Ovis aries: one gene and its partner. The protein of the gene in region 2 purifies or fractionates together with the protein of the main gene of each other region. This does not show direct contact. Links are inferred from orthologs where the notes say so. Each region holds a gene or a part of one and is shown on either strand. Other genes may lie near its edges.

Region 1 (5,877 bases), on a different chromosome or scaffold from region 2:
CTTTCCCTTTGCTGGGGGTAGACCTGTGCCGGCCACCTTCCCCAGGATGAGCTGGGAGGTTTCTCCCCTGTTTCTAGCTGCTCTGATTCACAACTGGTCTGCTGCAGCGCCCCCCAGTGGGCTGAGGGCTTCTTGTCTTGTTTCCACATCGCGTGGTAAGGCAAGGCTTACAAGTGGGGCTTAGTGAGTGTCGGTGAGCTGGAGAGGTCATCCTGGGAGGCTTCCAGAAGAGAAATCAGAATTTCTGCGCTGGTGTTGAGACTTGAGATTTTCCCATTAGGAACACCCTAAGGAATTTTTGGCCCCGACACTGGTCCACAGGAGTGATTCTTGTTCTGCTTCCTCCTTGAGTCTGGAAAGGGAAACAGCATCCGCACTACTGGACTTCTGCAGCAGGGGGCACGGGAGTTAGTGGAGCAAAGGCTCTGAGCTGACCCACCCAGGGGTACTCACTAAAGCCTTCCTCTCCCACTTTCTAGGTGTGCAGACTCACTCCCACACCTTCACAGGACTGTGAAATACTGTGAATGCTCTTGTGAACCAGGGAGCAGATGTTTAATTAACCCCTTCTGTGCATAGGAAGGGCAGGTGCACTGGTGGGGGTGATGCTCCTGGTTTGAGGTTTCCATCACGAACAGAGCAGCCGGGAGCCCCTCCTAGCAGCAGCGCCCACGCCCCTTCCCACACTCACTGACTTCTCCCAGCCACAGGCTTCTCCCAGACCATAATGAAGAGAAGTAGAAGCCTATGGAGAGATGAAATTGAGGTAATGGGGGCGGAGCTGTTGAGGTCTGGAGTTCGGGCCAAGGAGAAGGGAAGGAAGGGTCCTTTGTTCCCTGGAACTCAACACATGAACAAAGAAAATGTGAAAGGAGGAGACTGGGCACCGAGGCTGCTGAGGGAGGTCCGCGGGTGGGTGGTGGGGGAACCTCTCCCCAGGATGCCAGGGACCGACAAAGCAGGCCACGAAGGGAGTTGCTGGACATCCACAAGGTCACAGCGTAGGGAGGGGCCATTCTCTCCTGGAGGGTATCTGCGTTAAAGGAGGCTTCAGAAATAAGGCCTTGGAAAAGTAAGGCCAGCTCACCAGCTGGAGAGCACGCAAACGTGGCAGAGACAGCAGAGAAGGGCGTCCCTCTGGCACTCCCTAGGCAGGTCCATGGCCTTGAGGCTCCTGGGCCACAGCCGAAGGGGAACGACTTGCTTCTGGCACCTGGATGGGGCCACACTCTGACCAGCGTCCTCATGCTGCCTCCAAGAACTCCTGCCACCCTGCAGGAGTCCTGGGAGACCGGACTCTTCCCAGATCTAGGCAGCTGCAGGAGGAGGGAAGAGGGTGGGGAAAAAAAAGAAAAAGGAAGCCAGACTGAGAAACAACTCGATATTCAAGTCTCTGCGCTCCCTCACCTGTGGGCGGCTGGGGGTTGGGGGTGGGAGCGGTCCGTCGGGTAAGCGACCGCATCCCCAGTGTCTGCTCTCGGAAGGCGGCACCCTCAGAGCCGCCCCACCGGCCGGTGTGCTGTGTGATCGATGGGGGGAGAAGTGGGGTCATCCCCGCTCCACCCCACCCGGACGCAGTGCCCGGCTAGCTGGGTCTGGCGGGTAGGGTAATGGATCCCCTCTGCAGTTTCCTGGAGGAAATGTAATGAAGGTATAGCCTACTTGGACACCAGGATCCCAGCAGTGCGGTTGAGGGGCGGAGCCACCGCGGAGGCACAGCCCAGGCCGCAGAGGGCGGGGCGGGGCCTCAAGGGAAGGGGCGGGGCAGGGCCGCCCCGGCCGGTCTGGAAGCTGCTGGAAGTGTCGCAGCGCCGCCGCCCTGGATCCTTCCGCCGCGTGTGCAGTCAAAGAGTCCCCTGGCCGGCTGGAGCCAGCGCCCGGCCCGCAGCCGGAGCCACGCCTCGCCGCGAAACGCCGGCCCGCCGCGGGAGGGCCTGTATTCCAGGCATGCCCACAAAGTGGGACCTTTAATTCCGCAACGCCCGCGGAAAAGAACCCTTTCCCGTATCAGGCAATTAGAGTATGTGTAGGGCAGCTTCTAATGAGGAGGTCGAGCCTCGGAGCGTAGGGGGGAGTGGGTGACCCCTGTTTAGGCTTGGACCTTAGTCCCGAGGCTGGGACTGTCAGGAGTGGAGATGCCTGCCCTGCAGGTTTTCACAGAGGTCAGTGGGGAATCCTCGCTTCTAGTTCCACCGTTTATGTTATATGATTACTCCCAACATATGTTTCTGATGGTGTCCTGTTTTAGGAACGCGGAGACGGGGCTGTGAACAGGAGTAAATAAGTGTACTTGATCTCAAGGCCGGCGGCTCCCGCCTTTCAAGGTCCCCTCCCCTATTTTGGACCGTGACGTCAAGGTGGGCGGGCGGGCGGCGGCAGGTGCGCGGCAGACAGGCATCCTCCTTTAAGGCGGAGGGATCCGGGGGCGGGCAGCTGGGCGGTGCTTCGCCTTATATAAAGTGATTGGGGGCACACAGCCGTTCTCTCGAGTCACCCCCGCGCAGCCTTCTTGTGGCGAGTGAGCCCGAGGAAGCCATTGCCTGCTCGGTGTTCTCTAATACCTGTGATTGTTATCCTTGAAGGTAAGGCTCCTGTCTCATCTGGGCTTTTCAGATTAGCTTGTTCTTTCGCGTTGCTTTCGGCCCACGCATCCTTTCCGAGACCTACATCTCGTGTTGGGACCGGTTCTGGCGTAACGCTCCCATTGCTTCTCTTGGGGGAGGGCTGGGAGCGAGCTTTTGAGTTTAGACTCTATGTGATTGGCGGCGGGGCTGCTTTCCCGCAGCTATAAAGCGTTGTTTCGTGGGGCCGCAGAATGGGGCGGGGGGGTAGGCACTGCACGTGGTGGCCGCGCCGGCCCGGGACGCTGCCATGTTTGCCTCTCCACTTCCGGACGCGGCTACGGGGCGCCGGAGGGTCCCCGAGCCGGGCGGGTGGGCGCGCCCTCTGTGACTCAGCAAGGCTGGTCATGACCAGGTTTTGCCACTTGTTCTATCGGACACAATTTTTTTAAAGTCCTTTCTTTCGGGGCTTTTCCGTGAGGCTCTGCGAAGAGCTCCGTTTTCGGTCGCCGGCGGCGTATGTCGTGCTTCCTCCATCCTTCCAGATCTTTCCTGCGTCTCGGTGGAGGAGGGGCTGGCGAGCGGAGGGGGCAGGCTTTGGGATTCGTGGGCACGTCCCTTCCCCCGCCCCTCTCCGAGAACTGAGATTGTTCTGGAAGCTTCTGGAGCCCGGCGCCCCGCCCTGGTGCCCGGATGTTGGGGCGAAGGGAGGCTGCGCGGTGGCGCCCCCTCCTCGCGTGGTCGACGCATGTCCAGCCGTGACGAGAGTCGGCCCCGCAGACTAAGGCCACCATCTTAGTGTTTGGTTTGGGCTTGAGCTTCAGTCACGTGTGCAGAGAGGTCACGATGGAGCCCTTTCTTTATCGGTTCTTTGTCTTGATAGCCCACCTGGATGGGCATTCCGCCAATCTCGAGTTAGCTGTCCCTACTACGGGAGGCAGCAGTACCACATTATCTCCTTGGAGTTACCTAATGGGAGGACAGTTTTAAATGATTGCCCTTTAATGTGAAACTAATTACTTTGAAGGTGGAACGATAGTAATTTGCGTATTTAAATATATGGGAATTTACCTCGCTTTCGAGATACCTGGGTTGGAGTGCCTAACTAGATTGTGCTGATCTATGATTCACTTAACAGGAGTTTGGGTTCACAATAACTTGCAAGAAACATTAGCGCAATTTGTTCAGTGTGTTAGGTGCGCCCCTCCCCCCGTTGTTTCTAAGGGTGCTGCCTGAAATTGATAGAGGGAAGGATTTTCCAGTCTTTGTACCCAGCTCAAAACAGTTTGAATAGAGTCTCCTTAAGTGTATTGTGGCTGAGGGTGAACTTGAGGAGTCTTAAATTCTTGCTTTTTATTTTAGATGCCTGAGGAAGTGCACCATGGAGAGGAGGAGGTGGAGACATTTGCCTTCCAGGCAGAAATTGCCCAACTCATGTCTCTTATTATCAACACCTTCTATTCCAACAAGGAAATTTTTCTTCGGGAGTTGATCAGTAATGCTTCTGATGTGAGTGCCCTGAATGTCTTCATTGACGTTGGTTTTTTGTTTCTCAAGTACTCCAAGAGAGGGAAAGTGGGGGTGGTTTGGCATTTTGTGGTGTTAACTGATAAAGGGGGGATATAAACTTAACTGCTGTTCCAAAAAGTATTGCCTTGCTCTCTGTGGATAGATGGGATACTGTAACCCACTGGATGTCGTTCTCAACCTACAAGCTAAAGGAGTAATCAGAATTAGCGTATTTGGGGAGTTTAAAAAACTTTTTGGGTGAGATGGGTTTTGAGGAAGCAGAATTGTAAAACTGCAATTTTGTACTTTCAGGCCTTGGACAAGATTCGCTATGAAAGCCTGACAGACCCTTCTAAATTGGACAGTGGTAAAGAGCTGAAAATTGACATCATCCCGAATCCCCAGGAGCGTACTCTGACTCTGGTAGACACGGGCATTGGCATGACCAAAGCTGATCTTGTAAATAATTTGGGAACCATTGCCAAGTCTGGCACTAAAGCATTTATGGAGGCTCTTCAGGTACGTGGTTGGTTAGGCACACTCCATTTATATTATTGGTGTTTGCTTTGCCATTTCTTTGAAACTTGAGTTTGACTTTTAAACTTTTTGGCAGGCTGGTGCAGACATCTCCATGATTGGGCAGTTTGGTGTGGGCTTCTACTCTGCCTACCTAGTGGCAGAGAAAGTGGTGGTGATCACAAAGCATAATGATGATGAACAGTATGCTTGGGAGTCTTCTGCCGGGGGTTCCTTCACTGTCCGGGCTGACCATGGTAAGTTGGCTTTCCTGTTAAGGTGTCTGGATTAGCATTCTGGGGAAACACTAATGAAGATCTTGAGTATTGTATGTGTAAAGCAGTTATAGTTCTGCGTTTGTTTATTTAGTTTCTTATATTCTGTTCTGATTAATTTTTTTCTAGGTGAGCCTATTGGCCGTGGTACCAAAGTGATTCTCCACCTGAAGGAAGACCAGACAGAATACTTGGAAGAGAGGCGGGTCAAAGAAGTGGTGAAGAAGCACTCTCAGTTCATAGGCTATCCCATCACACTTTATGTGAGTATGGACTGGTAACTCAAGTGCAGGTAACTGCTGCTTGAGAGAATTGCATGGACTTTGGGGTTTTTTTTTTGCTTTTTTGTACTCTGAAACTGTCATCTTTGATACTTCTAGCTGGAGAAAGAACGTGAGAAGGAAATCAGTGATGATGAGGCTGAAGAAGAGAAAGGTGAGAAAGAAGAGGAAGATAAAGATGATGAAGAGAAGCCTAAGATTGAAGATGTGGGCTCAGACGAGGAGGATGATAGTGGCAAGGATAAGAAAAAGAAGACAAAGAAGATAAAGGAGAAGTACATTGATCAGGAAGAACTGAACAAAACCAAGCCCATTTGGACCAGGAACCCTGATGACATCACCCAGGAGGAATATGGAGAGTTCTACAAGAGTCTTACCAATGACTGGGAAGATCACTTGGCAGTGAAGGTAAGAAGTCTTGCTTGTTGGCTCAGTAGGAGGAGCTGATATGGACAAATGGAACTTACCCAACTGGTTGGTAGCTGGGAACTGTGAATGCTATGAGTTGATTTGCTAATGGACCCTTCCAGGGTGGAGAAGTGACATCTTCCCCTGTGACCTGTCTCTGGTGGCTTTACCCACCTGGAGTCTTTGACCCAAAGATGATATAGTGCTTGCAGTTGGATTCATTTAGGGCATTAGGGCTTAAATTTTCTCTACAGGGATAGGAAGTTTTTGTTTCAAATAATTGGACATTTTGGTATTGGGACCAAAAGCCACTCTTGAGTACACAGT
Region 2 (5,840 bases):
TGTAAGAGGTAACTATTTCACCTGAATTTAGGTCAGAGAAAGTTAAACCAAAAAAAAAAAAAGGCAAAGGAACTGCTGTCAACTGAAACAGCAAGAAAAACATCCTGAAAAAAATATAATAAAACAGAAATAAACAATTACCAGAGAAAGAATTCAAAGCCTTAGTAATAAGAATGTTAACTAAATTAGGGAAGAGAATAAATGAACACAGTGAGAATTTTAACTAGAAAATATTTTTTAAAACTCTAAAAAATGGAGAATTCAATAACAAAAAGCACAGTAGAAAGAATAAATAGCAGATTAAGTGATACAGAAGAATGCATAAGAGATCTGTAAGACAGGGTAATGGAAATCACTTGATCATAAAAGCAAAACGAGAAGCAAATTTTAAAAACTAAAATCAACCTAAGAGATCTCTTGGATAAGATTAAGTGCACCAATATTTGTATTAAAGGGCTTCCAGAGAGAGAAGAGAGAGGGAAGGGGATCAAAACTCATTTATAATCATTTCAAAAAGAAAAAAACACTTAGGAATAAATCTGTCTAAGGAGACAAAAGAAATATACTCCAAAAACTATAAGATGCTGATGAAGGAAACTGAAGATAACACAAACAGATGAAAAGCTATATCGTGTGCCTGAACTGGAAGAATCTATAATGTTAAAACTACCATGCTAACCAAGGCAATTTACAGATTCAATGCAATCTCTGCCAAAATATCAATGGCATTTTTTACAGCTGTTGTTCCCCAAGTCATGTCCAACTTTTTGTGACCCCATGGACTGCAACACACCAGGCCTCCTCGTCCTTCACCATCTCCTGGAGTTTGCCCAGGTTCATGTCCATTGATCGGTGATGCCATCAAACCATTTTTCATGGAAGTAGAACAAATAGTTAAGAAATTGTTATAGAAACACAAAAGAGCCCAAATAACCGATCTTGAGAAAGAAGAACAGACCTGGAGGAATCACTCTCCCTGACTTTAGACTAGACAACAAATCTATAGTAATCAAAATAGTATGGTATTGTTGACTCAGTGGACATGAACTTGGGCAAACTTTGGGAGATAGTGAGGGACAAGGAGGCCTGGCCTGCTGCAGTCCATGGGGGTCACAAAGAATCAGACACTGAATAACAACATAAAGTGACTGAATAACAATAACGACATAAAGCAGTGAGATCAGAACATTTCCTTACACAAGAATAAATCAAAATGTAAGACCTGAAATCATAAAATTTCTAAAGGAGGACATAGGTAGAACAGTCTTTGACACAAATTATAACGATATTCTCTTGGATCATTCTCCTAAGACAAAAGAAATAAAAGCAAAAAAAGAAATAAAGAAATAAAAGCAAAAAATCCAAATGGAATAAACTTAGAGGCTTTTGCACAGCAAAGGAAGCACCAAAAAACAAAAAGACAATGTATGGAATGGAAGAAAATGTCTAAAAATGATACAATTAACAAAGGCTTAATATTCAAAATATACAAACAGTTCACACAATTCAATATTTAAAAATAACACAATCAAAAAATGGTCAGAAGATGTAAATAGACATTTTTCCAAAGACATACAGATTGCTAAGAGGCACGTGAAAAGATGCCCAACAACACTAATCAACAGGAAAATGCAAATCAAAATCACTGTCACCTCACACCTGTCAGAATGGCTGTAAATAACAAATGTTGGAAAGGATGTAGAAAAAAGGGAACTCTTGTACACTCTTGGTGGAATAAAAAATTGGTGTAGCTGCTATGGAAACAATATGGATGTTCCTCAAAAAACTAAACACAGAAGGACCCTCTTGTTGTTTAGTCACTGAGTCATGTCTGACTATTTTGTGACTCCATGGACTGCAGCCCGCCAGGCTCCTCTGTCCATGGGATTTCCCAGGCAAGAACACTGAAGTGGATTTCTATTTCTTTCTCCCGGGGATCTTCCCAATCCAGGGATCCAACCCGCCTCTCCATTTGCAGGTGGATTCTTTACCACTGAGCCACCTGGCAAGCCCTAGAACCACCATATTACCCAGCAGTTCCACTCCTGGGTGTCTATCTGGAAACACAAAAACACTAATTTGAAAAGATTCATGTAACCCAGTGTTCAAGGCAACATTATGTACGATATACAAAGTATATTGCAATAGAAGCAACCCAAGTGGCAATTAACAGATAAGTGGATTAAAAAAGACATGACATGAGTATATATATATATATATATATATATATATATATAGCTGAGTAACTGTTCTCAGCCATAAAAAAGAATGAAATTCTGCCATTTGCAGCAACACAGATGAACCCAGAGAATATTATGCATAGTGAAATAAGTCAGACAAATACTGTATTCACACTTACTTGTGGAATATAAAAAATAAAACGAATGAATGTATATAGCAAAACAAAACAGACCCACAGATATGAAAACAAACTAGTAGTTACTAGAGGGGAAAGAGAAGGGAGAAAGGGCAAGACAGGCGTAGAGGATTAAGAGACACAAACTACTCAGTATAAAATAGATAAGCATATTGTACGGCACGGGGAATTACAGCCATTATTTTGTAATAACTTTTAATGGAGTGAATGAAACCTATAATAATACTATAAAGAATCAATCACTATGCTGCGCATCTGATACTAATATAGTATTTAAAATCAACTACACTTCAATACAAAGAAAAAGAGAAAACAAGAAGAAAACCGAAATTCCAGTAAACAAAGAATAGCATATCACACTATACAGTTTTTAAGTGTGATTACAGATATTATCTCATTTAAATATCACAACAACTCCAAGAGATAATTACCATTCTTAATTATGCGTAGCAGCAGATGAGGAGCTGAGCTGAGCCCAAAGGCGGGCTGAAAGACCTTACTGTCCTGTGACAGGTAATTTCTGTACTTGACTTTTTCTTTCTATCTCCCCTCTCGCTATGGCCTCCTCTCCAGGAATACACAGAGACCCCTCATCCCTTCGCTTTCTGGCTACCTCTCTCCTTGCCCAAATTGCTGAAAATTTGCCAAAATTCTGTCTTAAAAAAAAAAAAGACAGACGCTAAAACTCGCGAGATGCCTGTTCCGAAGAAATACAGATTCATTCACCTGGTGATTGCTGTTTGCTCACAAAAAATACAAACAGCCACCCACAGCCATCCCCCTTTCGGCCGCCTCCCTCTTTTTCTTCCCCAAACAGCGAAGTCCACCCCTGACTGCATCACTACTATCCTCCTCTCACCCGTCATACCCCCAGACCGTTTCCACTACCTTGTCCCTCCTCCGGTTCCTCCTCCGGTCACTCTGTATTTCAGATGAAACTTGCTCAGCCAGGGAAGAGGGAAAAAAAACCTCGTTTTGCGTAGGGCAAGTTGTGCCGGCCTCAAGGAAATGTTTTTCAGTCCCTCCTTCCCACCATGGGGCGTGGCCGCGGGCAAAGGATGGAGTTTGGGCGGGCTCCCCACAAAAGGAAAAGTCTGCGGGCACTGAGGTTTCCGGGCCTCACCACACCTGAACCAGCAGGAAACCTCTGCCGAAATTGTAAAAGCTGGACTTGTTGCTGATCAACTTATTCATTTCCTTCTCAAGCGATTGCTAGATAGTCAGGTATAGAAGACCTGCTTGTCCAGGTGAAAATGCAGTCACGATAAGGCGCAACAGCGCCACCTTCTGTGCAACTCAATAACAGTTGCCTTCATCGGTGCTCAAAATGGCCAGGATTTGACCTTGGGCTCCGGGACAATCGCAACCCCAAGCCTTTACTGAGCGCCCCAGTTAATACTGACCATGAGGCAATAGATTGGGAATAATTGAACATAAAAATCTCAGGAGTAAGTAGTCAATCATTCACAAATGCTTTTAAAATAATCTATGTGCTGGGTTCTCCTCTAGGGATACAGTGATGAGCCACCTACTTAGGTTACTGGCCCACAAGGAATTTACAATCATAGGAGACCCTGAAGAAAATACTCGCCTGGGAGAACTCCAGACTTGATACTAGCACCGAATACACGTTCTACTCAAGAAATATAGGCCACATAGTGTGTAGATGGCTTGCTGGCTGAGCATTGTTAGCAAACCAAGCAGAAATTGGGCATCCTTAGAACAGAAAGAATTTGGGTACCATGGGATGTCGAGCGTTTGAAGACTGGGGTACTTCAGTTCTCTGGAGTCTTTGCTATTGTCCAGGTGAAAATTCCCTTTTATTAAAAATTCCAGTTTTATTCTCTTCAGAGCTCTTTTAAAATAGGAAGAACTGTACTGCATGCCATTAAATTGTACATTTAAGAATGGTTGGTGGTTAATTTATGTTATGTGAATTTTACCTCAATTTAAAAAAATGAAAGAATGAAGTCTCCTCAGTCAAATTTTCTTCCCATCCTTTACGTCATAACTGATGAATAAAAGCCAAATGAACAAATCTGAGCTTTATATTATGGCCTCTTCTACTCTGCTTTCCCATGGACCCTGATCTCCTCAAAGCAGAGACTGCGGCATACTCATTTTTGTAATTCCTGCAACACCTGATTATCTTGCTGAATACCCATTCTGATACACAGAATTCTGTTTAAAAATCTCCTTTTCGTAAAGGAGTCACCATAGTCACAAAAGTTATAACCTCTAAGACCTAGAAAAAAATGTAAATACATATAGACTGAACAAAGGGGCATTCAAAAACGTATACTCTAATGTTAATGAACAATTCAATAAATGGTGAATTTTTAAATTTTCGGAGATAGAGAAAACTCTGGAAATAATGCTCAGATATATGAAAACACCAACATACATACTAAATAGAAAATCCTCAGTAAACAAAAGATATAAGCAGGAGGTATTCATGTGTGACTGGTTCCACACATTTACATGTGAGTAAGGTGGCTGGATCATTCTTATTTTGCTCTTCTCTCCGAGTGTCCATTCTCTTATAATTTCCATTATTACCTCTGTCTCACAATTCTGGCCCCTTACTCGTATTCAGCAATCTTCAGTTCATCCATCCTTACCAGATGGTTATTTCTACCTCTCCATATTTATTTATTTATTGTTGGCTGCACTGGATCTTTGTTGCTGCATGCAGACTTTCTCTAGTGGTGAGCGGGGCCACTCTTTTGTTGGGGTGGATGGGCTTCTCACGGCAGTGGCTTCTCCTGTGGCAAAGCACAGACTCTAGGCATGCCGGCTTCAGTAGCTGTGGCCCACTGACTCTGTTGCTCCGAGGCACATGGGATCGTCCCAGACCAGGGACTGAACAGTTCCCTGCATTGGCAGGCGGATTCTTATCCACTATACCACCAAGGAAATCCCAATCAGCATTTATTGAATGCCCGTTTTCTGCTCTGCCAGCATTTATTGAGTGTTAAGTATTGAACAGGCTTCCCTGGTAGCTCAGCTGATAAAGAATCTTCCTGCAGTGAAGGAGACCTCAGTTCAGTTCCTGGGTCAGCAAGATCTGCTGAAGAAGGGTAGGTCTACCCACTCCAGTATTCTTGGGCTTCCCTGGTGGCTCAGCTGGCAAAGAATCCACCTGTAATGCAGGAGACCTGGGTTTGATTTGAAATTAAATTCTATCTTAATTGATAAAAATTTAGTCATATTGAAGAAAAGGACGTGTACTCATCTTCTCCTGAGAGAACTCCGAAGTTGCAACTCTCTGCTGAACAAGCATCGACAAGAAAATTTTGGATCCCACTAAAAAGAGATACCCCATGTCCAAGGACAAAGGAGACACACATCAAGAGAATAGAAAGGATGAAATCACATTTAGAATCAAACCTCATACCTGCCAGAGATGCTCAGAGGGCTCAAGCACACCAGGACCCAGGGATCCCACAGAGACTGAGCCAGA

What was found.
Region 1: the proteins of STYK1 (region 2) and HSP90AB1 purify together in Homo sapiens (affinity purification with mass spectrometry; 3 studies listed by BioGRID and IntAct, with this or other methods). This does not show direct contact. The link is inferred for Ovis aries from reciprocal best matches to the Homo sapiens genes STYK1 and HSP90AB1.

Annotation. Positions count from the first base shown.
Region 1 is NC_056073.1:17,732,149-17,738,025, forward strand, and holds the start of HSP90AB1 (heat shock protein HSP 90-beta), read left to right. Parts: upstream 1-2,482; 5' UTR 2,483-2,582; intron 2,583-3,923; coding exon 3,924-4,070; intron 4,071-4,382; coding exon 4,383-4,589; intron 4,590-4,683; coding exon 4,684-4,843; intron 4,844-4,990; coding exon 4,991-5,124; intron 5,125-5,241; coding exon 5,242-5,550; intron 5,551-5,877. UniProt on the Homo sapiens protein: Molecular chaperone that promotes the maturation, structural maintenance and proper regulation of specific target proteins involved for instance in cell cycle control and signal transduction. Undergoes a functional cycle linked to its ATPase activity.
Region 2 is NC_056056.1:204,601,289-204,607,128, reverse strand, and holds the start of STYK1 (tyrosine-protein kinase STYK1), read right to left. Parts: upstream 3,371-5,840; 5' UTR 3,266-3,370; intron 1-3,265. UniProt on the Homo sapiens protein: Probable tyrosine protein-kinase, which has strong transforming capabilities on a variety of cell lines. When overexpressed, it can also induce tumor cell invasion as well as metastasis in distant organs.